Regions from separate parts of the Mus musculus genome. Here all the other regions are reported to be linked to region 4. The links are microRNA targets in miRTarBase. Many come from high-throughput screens and were not tested one by one. Region 4 holds a microRNA gene; each other region holds the end of a gene's coding sequence.
Evidence for each region. Region 4 holds the annotated microRNA mmu-miR-24-3p (UGGCUCAGUUCAGCAGGAACAG, at 1,465-1,486, shown strand). A microRNA usually pairs through its seed, bases 2 to 8, with sites in the 3' UTR of a target mRNA and lowers its output. Matches are read on the target gene's strand: a 7mer-m8 pairs with bases 2 to 8, a 7mer-A1 pairs with bases 2 to 7 and ends in A, and an 8mer does both.

Region 1 (4,066 bases), not on the chromosome of region 4:
AGAAAGAAATTGTAAGAGGATTTAAGGAGTTTCCCATGAGGACCCAGAATAGGTGCCACAGCAAAGGACAGGACACACTCAGGTCAGGCCACCAAGAGAAAGGAGACTGGGGATGTCAACCAGGGAAGGGAGAGTCCTTGTCTTGTACAAAGGCATGGGGCAGAAACGGCATCGGAATCTTAAGTCTGCCACTGGAAAGCAGCAGCAAGGGCTATGTTGCCACCTGCGGAGCTACACCCAGCCACACAGTAGGGCAGGAGACAGACATGTTAAGTCATGGAACAAAACAAAACAAAACAAAACAAAACAAAACTAAAGCTTTTTATTTCTCACATTCCATTTCTCGAAAAGTTGGTGAAAAACAGACAGAGGGGGGGGGGACACAGAAGGAAGAGGAAGAGAGGACACAGAAGGAAGAGGAAGAGAGGACACAGAAGGGAATAGTAGGAGAAACAGCTGAAAGGTAGACAAAAGGGACTATGACCACAAATGAGCCTCAGGGGCAGCTGCCCTTGTTTCAAACCTACAGCACTTTCTTATTTAATAGATGCTAACTAAGCAAGGCTGGAGACGTGATTCAGTAGTTAAGCGCACATGATGCTCTTGCACTGGACCCTGATTCAGTTCTTCATACCCACAGAGGGGATCTGATGCCTTCTTAGGGCCTCCATGGGTACCTGCATTCATGCGCGCGCGCGCGCACACACACACACACATTCACTCACTCTTTAAAAATAAATTTTTTAAAAGATGTCGAGTGACCAACAGCTTGCCAGCAGCTTTCCATAAGTGGTCTCTTCTACATGCCCCTACACTCAAGTGAGATTATTTTTCCCTTTCAACTAGCAACTTCCTGCCAGTTTGAGCCGAATGATGCTTGGGCATCTTGCCTGTAGTAGTTTTAAAGGCTGTTCTAAGCCACAGGAGGCGAGAGAAGCAGTATGCGCAGACTTCGGACCAAGGTCTAGACCCATAAAATAAACGATTCACATCTGGGCCAGCTCCTCTTTGGTACCTCATCTGGGCAAGGACCCTGCAGTGTGCGAGGTCATAAAACATCACACATAAAACCTTTATCATCTGTACTTTTGAACTTCCAATGGGACCAGGGAGCTCATTAAGTCGTTCACTTTCTTTGGAGCTTTGGGCCTTTAACCTGGAAGTGTTCCAAGCCCCCAACCTCTCTCCTCTTAGAAAGCTTCAATTCTTTTTTGGGGGGAGGGGGAGGCAGACGCCAATCAAAATGGCTGAGAAGCCAAGTTTTTAACTGTCCTGACTCAATGTGCTATGTAAATTGTCTGAGTCGTTGGTTTGCTTAAGGAGAATGACTCCTGGGTGAAGAGCAGCGTTCATGTCAGATGCAAGATGTGATGCCTCATTCCCATTGTATCCATGGAAACACACCTCTGGAAGTGACTCTGAGGGTCTTTCCAGAAAGAGGCAAGGCTTGCCCTGAATGTGGGCAGCACCATCCCCTGGACTGGGGGTCCCAACCTGAACTAACACACACTCTTTCCCCCCTTCCCCTTCCTCTGCCTCCCGATACAACATGACTAGCCCCCTCACATTCCTGCTGCCACGATGCCCGCTGTATGATGGATCGCATCCTGGAGCTGTGAGCCCCTAGACCCTCTCCTTTCTTCTTAAGTTGTTTTCTCAGTTGCTTTGTCACAGCAACAAGAGTAGTAACCAACACATAAGCCTTTACAGCCGTCAAGAACATTCTAGAAGGAGCCCAGGCTAAGCTTGGAGGTTAATAAAAGGTCTAAAAAGGACGGCTGTGTTTGAGTGAGGACATTTGTGTACCTGGCTGGACGTTTTCTACAAAGAAAAAGCAATAGTTCCAGACTCGGGGGCCAAGTGGCCTGGGGGCTAGTGACCAGTCTGTGATAGGCTGTGTGACCTTGGCCAGCCTGTTCTGCCTCTCTGAGTTCAGAGATGCTCCCTGAGGCCCATTCTGGACTAACGGTTTGTGGTTTTATAAGGGCTGCCTAGTGTGTTTTTTTTGGGGGGGGGGTTCGAGACAGGGTTTCTCTGTGTAGCCCTGACTGTCCTGGAACTCACTTTATAGACCAGGCTGGCCTCGAACTCAGAAATCTGCCTGTCTCTGCCTCCTGGGTGCTGGGATTAAAGGCGTGCGTCACCACGCCCTGCTAGTGTGTGCTTTTTGAGAGGGATAGCAAGGGCAAGAAGAAGCTGGAGCTTTGCCAGACTTGAGCCTTCGCAAAGTGGACAGGGGACACTGGGGTAGGTAGGGGCCGAGGAAGACAGGAGGGTGAGAAAAGAAACCTTTCTCTTCCTGCAACCTGCCTGCCCCAGCCTATACCCTGGTCCTTTCCAGAAAGCCTTTGCAAGATCTCTGTTTGGTTGACCGCAAAGGATGCTGGTGCCAAGGTACGAATGCCTCCTGAGCCCAGAAACCTGCAGAAACCCTCCCAGCGCCACCATTTGTGGGAGCTTATTTTGGCTGGGCCACTTCCAGCCCCCTGGGGCAACCTCATGCAGCCCCTCAAAAAAGACAGGTTCCATACAGAAGACTCAGCAGAGGAAGGGAGAGTCAGGGCTACCCCAGTCAGCCAGAGCCTTGCTTTGCATGCAAATCTAGACTGGCTTTCATCTGATAGGAGGTCCTACTGATGGGCAGGTTTTAAAACTAGAGCCGTACCTCAATTCAATCAATAAAAAGGCGAATTAAAAACGCAACCCTCCAAGAACACCAAGGTGAAAGACGAATGGGTTGTAGCTCACAACAAACCTGGCAGAAACACCCTCTTCTTTGGAGTCTGCCAATGGCCGGGTGTAATTTCCAGTGAACGGGCAGGTATGTGCTGTTTAAGTCCCCAGCAATGGATGACCAGGCTGGGGCAGGTTATCGCTCAAACACTCACACTTGAAGGCAAACAGGGTACCGTTCTTCCTACCACAGACTCCGCTCTTTCTCAGAGTTGGGCAGGCCCTCCCCTGAGATAAAAGGAAGTAACTCAAGCTCCTCCAGGACCTTAGGAACCTGCATGTGCACATGTTAAGACCCAGGTTTGGGGTACACATTAGTAAGGACTCGCATCTGACCAAACAAGGCACATAAGGAGGAATCGCGTCCACAGATCCAGCCTCAAACCTGAGCTGGGAGCACACAGTCTGGAAAGAAAGCATGCTCTCGGGGGGGGGGGGGGGCTGGGAGGGGGGCTTAGAGAATCAGAGGACATGTGAGCAAAGACTGAACCGGACAGCAACAGGGGGTGTGGGGCCTGTGCTCCCTCTGCCGTCTTCCATCTCTGCACAGGTGGCTCAACCCTGAACAGACAGTAAGATGCGGTAGAAAGACTCCGCCCTGGCCAGGGTCCTGTCTTTTTATTCTCCAGACACATGTTTCAGAGCCGGCTGACATCAAGCTGTGGGAAGAGCAGTAAGCAGTAAACGAGGAGCCAGAGGAAGAGAATGAAATATATCACGTCGGGCTGCTGTACAAACTGCGTCAGAGAGTCGTTGGGCGGGCTCTGGTTCCCCAGGGGCACAGCTTCTCCAGAGGAGTTGGTGCCAGTCCTGCAGAAGGAAAGAAAGGGACAGGATGGTTATTGGTGGGGTCCCTATGATTGGAAGACCATCCTGAACCTCAACCCCACAACCCATCCGCAGATAAAGGCTCCCATAATACATCAGGGAGGTCCCCATTTGTGTGTGTGTGTTCCAGGAGAGGGAGCTCCATCACCACTCCCTAACAGAAGGAGCCATGCCAACCATTTCACAAATGACCACAGTGACAGTCATTGGGCAGCAGTTGTCAAAGGCCACACAATTACTTCATGATAGAGCTGAGCCAGGTCTCCTGGGACAGTTCAGGAGGAGGTAGGACTGCCAGCTCTCACCTACCTACGCCTCAGTTACTAAAGGGACTTTGGCTGATAATTTCAAAGCAGCTACTGGGGACAAACAAGTCAAGTCACCCCAAGTTTTGCCTTTGACAGGTTGCCTTCAGAAGCACTGTCAGCTTTGATTTGGGTCAGAGTTACCTTTCTTTTAGGTGGTGGGAGGGGGGGTTTAACAAGTGAGCCAGGTTGCTTTTGCC
Region 2 (4,066 bases), not on the chromosome of region 4:
CCTTTCCACGAAGTGAAGTGCGTAAAGCTGACAGATCATGTGCTTGTCGCCATTCCCATCTGGGATCTGCGGCAAGCAGGTTCTAACAGGGTCTTTCGAGTTTTCAGCTGGTTGATAGGCCACCTGCTCTTCCCCAAGTCAGCTAAGAATCACCATCTTTAGGGAACCCAAGCAGAGGACAGTGGGGCAGAGCACAACATGCACTGGGCTTGGGAAGGTCCTGCTGTTGAAGCAGGTAGCAGCAGGCACCCCACAGTCCCTTGGAGGGGACTGGCCCTGTCAGCTTGCCAGCTCTCACAGCCCCTTTCTGCCTTCCTTTAGGTTCTAAACAAACACCACACATCTAGTTTTCTTCGAGGCCCACACCTGCAGTCACACCACAAAGGACCCCTCAGAGTCTCTCCTCAATTGCCTTTCATACATCACTGGCTGCATCTACATCCAAGGGCAAAGTAAGACACCAAATCAGATGTTAGCTGAAGCAACTGGTATAGAAAACAATACAGAATTCAAGTACTGAGACAGCCGGGCAGACAGGCAGCACCTCCAAGCTCACACTATCAGCCCTGTCTCTGGTCCCTTGCCCCAGACCTGCTGTATTCGTCCCAGCTGCCTCAGGGACTATTGTCTGCTCTGGGAGGACATAAGACTCATGGCTGGATCCAGCTCTGTCCCAGTAGCTCCAACCCTATCCAGTCCCGACTGTCGTCCTGGCAAAGATGCTGATGTAGCAATAGTTTCTACAATAGACTCTACATAGTATGTGCATATTGCTAGTAGTCAAGCTAGGAACAGAGGTGTAGACATCTGACAAATGCTGAGAGGCTCTCACCTATAGGGTCTGGACAAGTCAGGGTCACGTGACAGGACAAGACAGCCCCGATTCTGGAATTAGTCATCTTGTAAACAAAGGAGGGAGTCTGGTTTTTTAAATTGGTTTTCCTTGAAAAAAATAATCAAAAGATGCTAAGGCACTCTGGAAGGCCCCTCGGAGCCCAGGCCTGCCACCCGCCTGCCTCGCAGTACATTCAGGATGCAGAGGGAGTGCCCCTCCCCTAAGCAGGTACAGTCATTGGCCATGCATGTCTGCAAACGATCCCCACAACGTCCACAATGGGACACATTAGTGCAAAACGCTCTGTCTGGCCCACCCGGGGCACAGGGAGAGCTCAGAATCCATTCACATTTAATATTATTGAAGTTTTACCTATAGCTCTTGCCTTCCTTACCCAGAACAAAACAGATGGCAATTATAAACACTAAGGGACAGAGGTTGAGGACATTGTGCTAGCCCGAGCAGTGGTCAGGCATTCTGTGCGGCCACTGTTCCTCTAATGGCCAGCGGCACCCTCCCTATGCTGGCCCAGGGTGGGACCATGCTCATCTTGGAGTGGAGGGATGAGAAAGAGCCCTTCTACCACCAACCAAAATAGGTGGGTTTGTCTCCCAAAGGTCCCCAAGGATGGTCAAATTAAAGTGCAAATTTGGGTGGAGGAAGCAGATGAAGGGATATTCCAGAGCGGAAGGGCACAGCCCTGCCCCCAATCCTGCCGTACCCTCTACAGTTCTATGGTCTTCACCCAGCACCAGGAGGGTTTGGTCCAAGTCACTAAAGGGCTGGCTGGGGCTCCAACCTACCTAGGAGTAAGATGGAAATGGGAGAGGTGAGAGGTCCATCTCTGGGCAGCTAGTTCCTGAGCTGGATATTAGCTAGCCTCTGAACCGGCCCTAGGAATGCAGGCCTTGGGTTACCAAGGAGCAGGGGGAGGGGCTCAGCTCAGTTCCCACAGTGCCTGCCATGATGCCCCTTTCCCTCTCCACACCACAGGTCTTCCAAAAGAGGGGAGGGGGAAGATAGGACTATACATGAATTGACGTGTATAGTCAGCACAGTATGGGGTCTCCCTGTGAGGCCCCCAAGACAGGGAATTGCCTGCAAAAAGGAGGCTGTGACACAGAGGGAGTCTAAACTGCACCTCAGGCCTCCTACCCTCCAATGGGGAAAAGACTGCTCTGACTGTGGGCACACAGTGGGGGGTTCATAGGGCAGCAAACTCAAGATGCATAGAGGGATAGGGACGAGACCTTTCAAGTTTGTTATAGTCGGTGTCCTTGGGCACCTCAGCAGCTGCTAGGTTTTGCAGGTGGGCAGGCAGTCCTCAGACAAGAGTCCAAGAGGAGACACTTGGGAAAGTAGCCTCGGGAGCATATCCCACACTTTAAAATGATAAACCGCCAGCTTCTCACCCACCAGCAGTCCTCCACGGCCCCCACAGGTGCCGTCCTCGTGATAGTCTAAGTTTCTGGTCCCCAGTGAGGTTGATCCACACCTGCCAACTGCCCTGGCCCAGGCCTGTAGGGCCTGTGCCTTCCACTACACGGGCACCCACAGTGAGCGCTAAGCCCACCCCAGGCAGCAGTGTCCTGCTGGCCAGGTCCACAGGGGCCTAGCTTGGCTGTACACAGATAGCTATACTTTCCTGGGCCCCTCTGCCTCCAATGGGAGGCCAAGATGGGGGTTATGGACATGTATTCACCCAAATCCACAGCAGGCTGGGAACAGGGACACTAGTCTCTCGCTTTTTTTTTTTCTTTTTTTTTTTTTTTTTTTCTCTGTTCGGTCTGAAAGTTTCCAAACCACAAACAAAATAGATCTGAACTAAACAAAAACAGCAAACAAGCAAAATCCCAGAGTGGCTGGAGAGGCAGAGGGTGGTGAGGACAGCCATGGCCAGGGGCAGAGAGACCCTGGGGGGATCAGCAGGCCAGCCGCTGGGGGTCTGGGTGGAGCAGAGTGAGGACACAGGTATGGAGGGGGGAACACCTCATCTTTCCCCCACCCCCAGATGACCAGCCACAGCTACTGCAGGGCCATCACTGGTCTTCCTGCCCCCCCTCTTTCTCTTTCTCTCTCTCTGTCTCTCTCACTCATGTGTGTGTGCGTACATACTCATACACACACATGCACACACACACACACACACACACACACACACACACACACACACGCACACACACACACACACACACGCATACATACATGCACGCAGGCAGCTTCTTCGGAGGAATGAAAACAAGAGAAGTCTGGCCTCTGGGGGCCCAGCATTCCCCCCACTGTCCCAGTGGGGTCCTTATGGTTAAGAATGGAGTGTCGTGTCTGCCCCTCCAGCCCCAGGCCACTGCTGCCCCAGCTTCTGCTTTCAGAGCAGGGGAATAAGAAGGGTGGATGAGGCAGGGTCAGGGCAGGACATCAGGGACCCGGTGCCCTCTTCTGTCTCCCCAAGAAGGGAGAGAGAACACTACCACGGGAGACTGAGCTGGGGAATATCAAAAAGTTGCCCTGGGACCTTTGTCCCAGAGAGTGGCCAGCGGCCTAAATGTTTACAGTATAATGAATGCATTTGTTTCCTTCATCCATTTTAAATACAGGCAGAATAAAAATCACATTTTTGTCAGGCAGCAGTAGCAGTTCAGTAGGTAAGTGGCTTGATCACATTTGTTTGTATTAGTAACGCATGCAAGCAGCTTTAGTACTGGGTTCCTGTGAGCTGGCCTTGCCGGCCACTTACAAGGTCCCTGCATAGGTGCCCTCTGGCCTTCTTGTTGCTGTGGCCACTGGTGTCTGAGGCCTACTGGAGCTGGTGTTGCCCTGCTCAAAGGCCTGAGGGGAGCTCTGGCCATCAGCGGGCAGCTGCTCTGGGGCAGCCACCTCCTGGATAACAGAGCCACCCCCATCCACCTCCTCATTAGCCTCAAAGGCAGGGTTGGCTGAAGTGCTCAGATCGACATTCACCGCATCAGTTCTCAGAGCCACGATGGTGGCTGCATCACTTCGTCGCTCAGCATAGATGCGCTGCTCAAACACCTGTGGAGCCGCAGATGGGAACTCGGGGTCCAGAGGCAGGCTGGCGGCCGACGCACCCATGACGCTACGGTACATCTCCACACCCTCTGGAAGCATGGACTTGATCTTGGGCAGCCAGCGCTTACGGACACGGCGAGCATTGGTACACATGTCTGCGGCAATCACGTTCATCTCGCTCTCTTTGAAGCTGGGGGCAAAGTT
Region 3 (4,066 bases), not on the chromosome of region 4:
TACATTCCCTTATCAGACGCAAGCTCTTTAAGCCGAGTGGGGCCCCCAGCCCTCTCACTGTGCTTACAGGGCTGGCAATCTGATGTGTGTAAGGGGGCAGAAGGCAGCAAACACGAGCTGCTCAGCACCAGACACAAAGCCACGCCCAGCTTACTACATTGCTATTAAAGTCCAAAAGCCCCAGAGGCACTCGTACAGTCTCTGCAGGTGCAGGTCATGTGAGGGAAACAGAAGTGTAGTGGAGCCGAGCATCACCAAACCTGTGGCTTAGAGATGTACATGTGCTTATTCAGACACAGAATGCATCAATGTCAAAATACTACAAACGCCACACAAGATCAACTGTGCCCAAAGCAATGAGAGCTTACAGAGGTCTGCCTGCTAGCAGTAGGATGAAGAACCCAGCCTCTCGAAGGGGATGAGCAGGGACGGAGGGGAACAAGAGTGTACCAGGTAATGAAGATGCTCAAAATGCATTATCTACACGTATGCAAGTGTCATAATGAAACCCAGTATTAATAGATGCTAATAATGAAAAATAACCCGCCTATGTATGGGGAGTGAGTGTCACAAAGGCCAGTGTCAGGAAAGGAGGTCACCAGCCGAAGGCTTCTTTGGTCTCCATTTTCCCTCTGTTCAACACCCACCGCCCCACCCTGGCCCCACCCAGTCCTTCCTCACTGCTCCCCTTAGGCTATGTTGTCCTGCCATTCAGGAGACCCAAATCACATCTGCCCTTGCAAAATAAGCCTGACCTTCAAACTTCAGCTCCTCAGCACCTCTCACACCCCAATTCACAGACTGATAAAATCAGACTCTGGACTTGATTTTCAAGTCTAAAAGGATGCAGCACTTGAGAGTGGAGCCTGGTTACTAGTCAGGCAGAGAGGTATTTTAAAAGCTGAGAACTGTTACTTAGGGACGTTACGATGTCCTCAAAATAGAGGTGATAAGATGGCTCAGTGGGAGAAAGCGCTTGCTCTCAAGCGCATGACCTGAGTTTGAGCCTCTGGACCCTAATGGTGGAAGGAGAGAAGCGACTCCGTTAAGTGTTCTTCTGACCTCCACATGGACACTGTGGCACAATTGTGGTCCCTCCCCAAAATATGTGAATGTAATTAAAAAAAAAAAAGACTTGCTCCAAATAGCTGGCATCTCCTTCAGGGACTGGCCCGACCTCTGGCATTATAGTTTGCTTTCAAGCACGTCCCCCAACACCCAAAGGGTTCAAATAAATTCTCGGAGACATTTTGTTGGTGTAGATTTTAAATTACAAGCTTGATTTGACACCCTCAAATACAGTTCTTCAGAACTCTAGGTATAAATAGTTGTCAGTACTTTCAAATGAGAGGAGGAGTGACATTTCAGCATAGTTGTCTGATGCTTGTACGTAGGATAGCATCCTCTCACCTGCAGGGGGATACTCCAATTCATGCAATAAATGACCATTACAGGTTTCAAAGGTACCCTAGGTTTTCTAGGTGAGAGTTCACACCCACTTTAGGTCACGAGGTCAGTCTGCTCCCGATCACTCTGGTTCCCCGAGTGGTGAGCACCGGCTCCTTGGATACACAACTGGGTCACTGGTTAGCCAGGTATCATTTCAGCCCTTTCTTTTACTGGATTCTCCCAGGAAACCCAGGGTTTTGGAAATGTGGCCAAGGTGGCTGAGAGGCAAATACAACATCAGAGATCACACGGGACTCTGAGTGACCGAAAAGAGGTGAACAGGAGGGAGATTTGAACTTTTCTTGACATAAAATTGGCAGAAACAAAGATCATCAAATCCCCGCAGCTAGAAATCATGAGGGTGAAATGTCTGTGTATCGAGAGGAGCCTGCACAGATGACCTCGCTCGTGGCTCCTATAGAACCACTGTTCCAGGATGATGGGACCTATGTTACATATGATATGAATACAAAGTCTTAAAGTTTATAGTAGGACATTAAAATAATCTTCTAATAAAATCAGCCTTAGGTATAACGAATCTAAATTTCAGCATTCTGTATACTTCTAAATAAATAACTCTGATCTATACCCATCGAAAATATTACAGTTTATGGTGACATAAGAGATAAGCCACGCAGTATTATAAGTGAAAATAAAAAGTCAATTTCAAAATAAGTCTAAAAATACACGGAGCTGAAATGGTATAAAATCCAAACACTAAGCATCTAATTAAATAGGCAGCGGTGGGATGAAGGAATGCAGGCTCAGCAGCGCACGCTCAATTCATAAAAAAGCTCCTTAAGTTCACACTCCAAATAAATAAGCAGAGACACAAAGGAAGGTACTGTGCCAGCCAGTAACACCTGCAAAGCCAGTTTTCTCCTTCCTTCCAAACGATCCCGACAGGAAAACAGAACATAACGGTCACTTGCTAAAAAACTATAATTCATGATTTTTAAAAAAAGATGTTGCCTCGAATATAAAAAGTCAAAGGAAGGCCTCCTAAACATTAGATCACTGTACCGCAAATGAGGAATGGCCACCTGGTGACAGAATTAAACAACACTAGACATTTGTCTCTTTAGGGTATGACTGGATTTCTGCTTCATGAGCCCATGAAGCATTCTAGAATGAGCCCACGAGAGGAACACATTCCATACACCTAAGCGCACGGCCTGAGAGTACGCATACACGTGGTAGTCTGCTTCATTCGTCAGAGTATGGGTTTACCTGCCCTAAACACCTGCACAGTGGCAACCACTCCTTACTCAGGATGCTCTCCTGAGGCTCTCAGGACATAACAGACACTCAGTAAGTTTCTCTTGAGCTGCGCACAGAGCCCGGCACTCATCTCTTGAGGCAGCATAGAAGCCAGAGTGAACTCTCACCTGGGACCTGGGAGTTCTGTCCCTGTGCCTTTGGGCCTGTCAAGTTCATCGACACAGGTCTGTCAGTTCTCAACTCGGGGCCAACATCTCTACAGTTTATCTAGTTCACAGGTAAGCCTTCTCCAAAGAGTTGTGCCTGCACATTGTCGTCAAGTTAAAAGAATAAAGGTCATCTTTGTATTCTATGCTGGCTATCCACTTGTGATCACTGCTTCAGACCACCCCTGCCTCCGCCCCCCACAACCATTTTGCAAATGGAGACCAGAATCTAGAGTAATGCCCAAGGCTTAAATCACACAGTTCCCGAGATTAACTAAAAAATGGCACTGAAGCCATAAGATAATGCTCTCTGATGACAAAGAAACTTATTGCATGATGGTGGGAAGCAATGGCTGTGGAGCAAGACTGTAAACCAGGAGTGCCCTTTAGCCCTCAGTGTGAGCCCCACATGACACGGGGAAGCAGCAAGGAGAGGGGCCTGCTCGCCATAGCTCCCTCTCTCTGTCCTCGGTGCCTACATCTGTGTTCCCTGGGCTGCTGTTTAATGTTGCTGTTTCTAACGTTCATCCTTGGGTCCTTGATGCCAGGGAGCAGGGATGTCTCATGACTTCTGAGATAAACGCTGTCGGGGAAGTCTGCATCTTCTTTGTCTGTCAGCCGTCTGTCACGCCTGCCACGCTTACTGCTAGGAGAGGTAGACCCAGTGTTTCAGCCCTGCCACCCCCTGCAGCAGCTTAGTGTAATAGAAGTCCACGTTGTCGGCAAAGTCCGTGCAAACAGGTGACTCAATGTTGCCCAGGGTGCAGTAGAGTGCAGTTCCTCCAACACTGAGGAAGACAGTGGCTATGCACAGCAAGATGAGCAGGATGCAGGAACCACCACCAACCTCATCTGCAAACAGGAGAACGGGGTTAAACTATCAGCAGGCTTAGCTCAAGTCTCTTCACGGGTTCTTTTAATCACAGTCCTCCGATGCCTGCTAATCTAGGCTAGCGACCTAGTTCATCTCCTCCCACTTTCTCATCACCGTGACTCCTCCCCATCTATGGGCTCTGATCTGTGGACCAAATGTTCGGAAGAACTGTCTGCACTAAATATGTACTATTTTCTTACCACATCCCCTTAAACAATACCACATAGCAATTATGTACAGATTATTTAAACTCACGGGATCTGATATATAATCCAGAGGTGACTTCAACTACTGAAGTTGATCCAAGACATTTTTT
Region 4 (4,066 bases):
GATCAGCTTGCTGGCCCCTGAAAACTTTAACTGGCACGCAGGACACTACTCTACATTGGGTAGGCCCCAAATTTTGTGGCTTGCCCTGGTACTGGGTGCTAAATACCTTCTCTGTAAGTTTTCACTGGCCTTCCTAGTAGAAGGTTTGGGGTTTTGTTGTTTTATTTTTGTTTTTCTTCTATTTAAGACTAGGGTCTCAAACTGTAGCCCAGTTAGGCCTAAAACTCATCATGTAGCTTAAGCAGGCTTTTGACTCCATTCTTGGCAACCTTCCTGCCTCAGTTTCCTCAATGCTGAGATAAACGTGAGCCACCAACTGCAACTGTTGTAGTCTGCTTTACAGATGGGGAAACTGAGGCTTGGAAGGCCTAGGGGAAACTTTACTGAGGTGTTATTGTTGGGGTGCATCGGCCTGCTTCTCCTTGCTTGGGCCCTAGGTGGTGTGGGGTGGGGGTGGGGTTATGTCTGAGCTGGCTGGGGAGGAGAGGGCTGAGGTGGGAGGCCCTGGAGTTTCCTCCTGCCCTTCAGGCTTCTAGGAAGTGGCGCCAGCTGGGGTGAGGTCACTTCCTCCCTCCAACCGTCCACCTCCCTCAGCTTCCTCTCCATGGCCCCATTTGGCCTGCTTTGGGCTCAGGGCTGTGGGTGGGGATAGAAGCAGAGTGGGAAGCAGCTGGGAAGGCTCTGCAGCCCCTTTGGCCTTAGGGCTTCAGGCACCTCCCGCTTTGTAGGGCTGGGGTAGAGGCACTGCTGGGTGCCCAGCATCCAGCAGCCTCGCTCCAACCTTCCTACGGATCGATGCTCCTCTTTTTTGGGAATGCTTCTTCCCTCTTGGAAGTAGAGGAGGGCTAGGGTGTGGATCAGCAAGCTGAGTTTAGATTCTGTCCCCAGCACCACTTAAACTGTGTGTGGTGAGGTGTACCTATAATCCTAGACTCCAGAGGTAGAGGCAGGAAGAACTGGTGCATTCGGAAACCTTGTGTTCAGCTATGTGAGACCCAGCCTGGTCAAGATAGGCAGGCAAGCAAGAATGCTCCAATCTCACTGTCTCTTCTTTCTCTCTTTAGGTGCTACACTCCGCTCCCACCTGCTGCCCCCCTCACTGTGCCTCGGACGGCTGGGGTTCCTGGGGATGGGATTTGATGCCAGTCACAAATCACATTGCCAGGGATTTCCAACTGACCCTGTGCTCTGCCTTGGGGGCTCCTGTCGCCAAGGATGTCTGTCTTGGGTACTGGGTAACAGAGAAGCCTATCATGACAACTGGCCTGAGGAGCAGGGCTTAGCTGCTTGTGAGCAAGGTCCACAGCAAAGTCGTGTTCACAGTGGCTAAGTTCCGCCCCCTGGACCCCATCTCCTCAGGCCGCTGCTGCCCACCCTGCTCTGCCTCCTGGCTGGCAGGGCTCTGCCTCTCTCCGGGCTCCGCCTCCCGTGCCTACTGAGCTGAAACAGTTGATTCCAGTGCACTGGCTCAGTTCAGCAGGAACAGGAGTCCAGCCCCCTAGGAGCTGGCAACCCTGCAGAATGTCTGCCGTGAGCAAGACCTGGAAACAATGGGGTAATTAGTCCAACCTAAGCCCCGTTGTCTGCTGGAGGCTCAGCCTCTAAGCCTGCATCTGGGTGTCCACCTTGAGATTTCTGTGGTTCCCCAAAGCAGATAGATGGGCGGGTAACCCTTGCATTAAAAGCCAGTTATGTCCCCTCAGGGCCTGGAAGCCCTTCTTTTCCTAAGTCTGGTGGGGCTCAGGCACCACCCCTTATACATACCATCTTTGAAGTCAGTTACCCAAGAGGAAGCTGCTTTAGGCCCTCTAACGGTTAAATGCCAACTCTCTGCTTCCGGAAGAAGGCACTGACCTGATCCAGTGTGCCTAGCAATCCCATGGGGTCTGCAGCTTTCTGCTGGTGACAGCGAGGCAGGGAGCGAGGTCCACACAGGCCTCAGGATATGAACAGATCCATGCCCCCCCCCCCCATTGGCCTGTTGAAGTAATCTCCAGGCTTGGAAGTTAAAAAGTTGCCTACTACCCACAAATGAGACTGCATGCAGACTAATTGGAACTGGCTGAGTTACACTTCCCAGACCATACAGTGTCCTCTCCCTACTCTGGGCAGGGGCAAATCGAAGCCTGGGTGGAAGAACAGAGTTGAAAGCTTGTATTGAATGTTGTTCTCCAACTAAATAAAAGCTCCACAGCCTCATTCCGTAAGGGCTGACGTCTCTTCATTCCCGCCTCCCACATGTGTGTTGCTGGCTTTTTTCATTTCTCTTGAAACAGCATTTCTGTGTAGACCAGGCTGACCTTGAATCAAACTCCTCCAGTGTCTGGAGTTTGGGAATACCAGCTGCACCACTATATCTACCACACCCTGGGCTCCTAACCTGCATTGCACCTATCCCCAACCTTGCTCCACCTGCTTCTAGGAAGGTGTAAATATAGTTCTGTGGTCAGTAGGTGCTGCGACCTGAAGATCCTGGGATCCTTTGGGGATGGCTTGAACGGGAGGGATAACCCAGACCTGGGGTGTATGAGACCAATCTGTGGTCACCCCAGTTCCATGAGGGAGTATGTTACAAGAATGTACTCTGCCTATGCTGGGATGCACTGACTGGCAAGATGCCAGGGCTTAAGGACGGGCACATATGCGCGCACAGACAGACACGCGCGCATGCACACACACACACACACACACACACACAGGGCTTAAGGACGGGCACATATGCGAGCACAGACAGACACGCGCGCATGCACACACACACGCACGCGCGCGCGCCCGTCTACACACACACACACACACACACACACACACACACACACGCACGCACGCACGCACGCGCGCGCGCCCGTCTGCGCCAGAAGGGCTAAGGGGCGGATCGCCTCTGATCGGCTCCCTGGAGCAAAGGAACGCACCATGAACTATGGCCACACTCATAGTCACAGCCAGCTCCCATAGTGCCCCACAGAGGCAACACACACACACACACAGCTTCCAAGAGAACGGTCCTAAACAATGACCCTGTCAGACACAGCTAAGGACATAAAGAACCGGAGAATGAGAAGAATGCCCAGGCCGTCCGCTGGATGAATCCATCTAAGAACGGGAGTCTCATCCACAGCCCAAAAATGCAATGGGCAGGTCACTGGGGACACAGGCGTCCCCAGCTGCCCTCCGCACCTGGTGAGACCTCCGGAGCTCCGAATGACGTTGTCTGGAGCCAGACGCCCCCTGGTGGTCATTTCCTGCAATGAAGGACAGTGCAATCTGGGTGCATTTTCCAAAAACCTACAGACTCTAGGTTTGGGCGTTTTAAGCCTCCTGACTTGCAGAGATTATGACATGCAGATGGAAAAGCAGTAAAGCCACCAGCAAGAGGTGGCTCTTCGTGTCACCACGATGCCATGAAGAAACCAGCAGCCTCTCCTGTCCCATTCAAGTTGTGCCCAAAAACCGAGATGGAAAATTTTTTGGTTAATTGAGCAGGTGGTAGGTACCCCTGGCCCCGGGTGTTTGTGTTAGCAATGCAACCCAGTCTTGAAGTTAAAAAGAAGTTGTGTTCAATCTTTTTTTTAAAAAAAAAGGAAAAAAAAAGGAAAAGAATACAGTATGGGGTTCAATAAATAAGAAAAAAAGTTACAAAATGATGCCAACTTTTTCCTTAATATACAAGAGAGAAGACAGGTGCGTCTGGGGTGGAGGCTCTCCCTTCTCTTCCTCCCTGGGCCAAGGCCTGGGATACAGGAAGGCCTGTCAGCAGCTGGGACTTGAGAGAGATGCAGACATGGGGAAACTAAGGGAGTGGGGAAACAAATGGAGGTGCAGAGCAAGAGGAAGACAGAACGGGGTCCCTGGCTGTCTGCCTGTGCCTCCCACAACAGGCTGGAGGGCAGCCTGACTCCTGAGTTGTGTATCCAGTTACTAGTGGTGGGGTCTGGCCAGCAGAGAGCTGTCCCCAGCCTACCCTGTGACCTTGGTGCCCAAGAGAAGACAGGCCCTGGCTTGACAAGGGTATTTGGGGGTGAGGTATGTGGCAGAGGCCCAAGACCTCTTAATATCCTTCAGTGGGGTG

Region 1: miRTarBase lists Clmn as a target of mmu-miR-24-3p. Seed matches in the 3' UTR shown: 7mer-A1 at 3,285-3,291.
Region 2: miRTarBase lists Nacc2 as a target of mmu-miR-24-3p. Seed matches in the 3' UTR shown: 7mer-m8 at 1,770-1,776.
Region 3: miRTarBase lists Cnst as a target of mmu-miR-24-3p. Seed matches in the 3' UTR shown: 7mer-m8 at 2,211-2,217.

Annotation. Positions count from the first base shown.
Region 1 is chr12:104,768,421-104,772,486 of GRCm38, forward strand. It overlaps Clmn (calmin), which reads right to left. Exons shown (of 14, transcript NM_053155.2): 14 at 1-3,543. The coding sequence ends at 3,372. Among named protein-coding and RNA genes, the nearest start is that of Dicer1, 19 kb to the left of the region's middle.
Region 2 is chr2:26,056,397-26,060,462 of GRCm38, forward strand. Nacc2 (nucleus accumbens associated 2, BEN and BTB (POZ) domain containing) reads right to left here. Exons shown (of 6, transcript NM_001037098.1): 6 at 1-4,066. The coding sequence ends at 3,566. Among named protein-coding and RNA genes, the nearest start is that of Nacc2, 34 kb to the right of the region's middle.
Region 3 is chr1:179,624,661-179,628,726 of GRCm38, reverse strand. Cnst (consortin, connexin sorting protein) reads right to left here. Exons shown (of 11, transcript NM_146105.3): 11 at 1,254-3,728. The coding sequence ends at 3,523. Among named protein-coding and RNA genes, the nearest start is that of Sccpdh, 42 kb to the left of the region's middle.
Region 4 is chr8:84,207,411-84,211,476 of GRCm38, forward strand. It overlaps Mir24-2 (microRNA 24-2), which reads left to right and starts at 1,405; the gene lies at 1,405-1,511. Zswim4 (zinc finger SWIM-type containing 4) reads right to left here. Exons shown (of 14, transcript NM_172503.3): 14 at 3,532-4,066. It overlaps Mir23a (microRNA 23a), which reads left to right and starts at 1,108; the gene lies at 1,108-1,182. It overlaps Mir27a (microRNA 27a), which reads left to right and starts at 1,262; the gene lies at 1,262-1,348. It also overlaps Mir3074-2.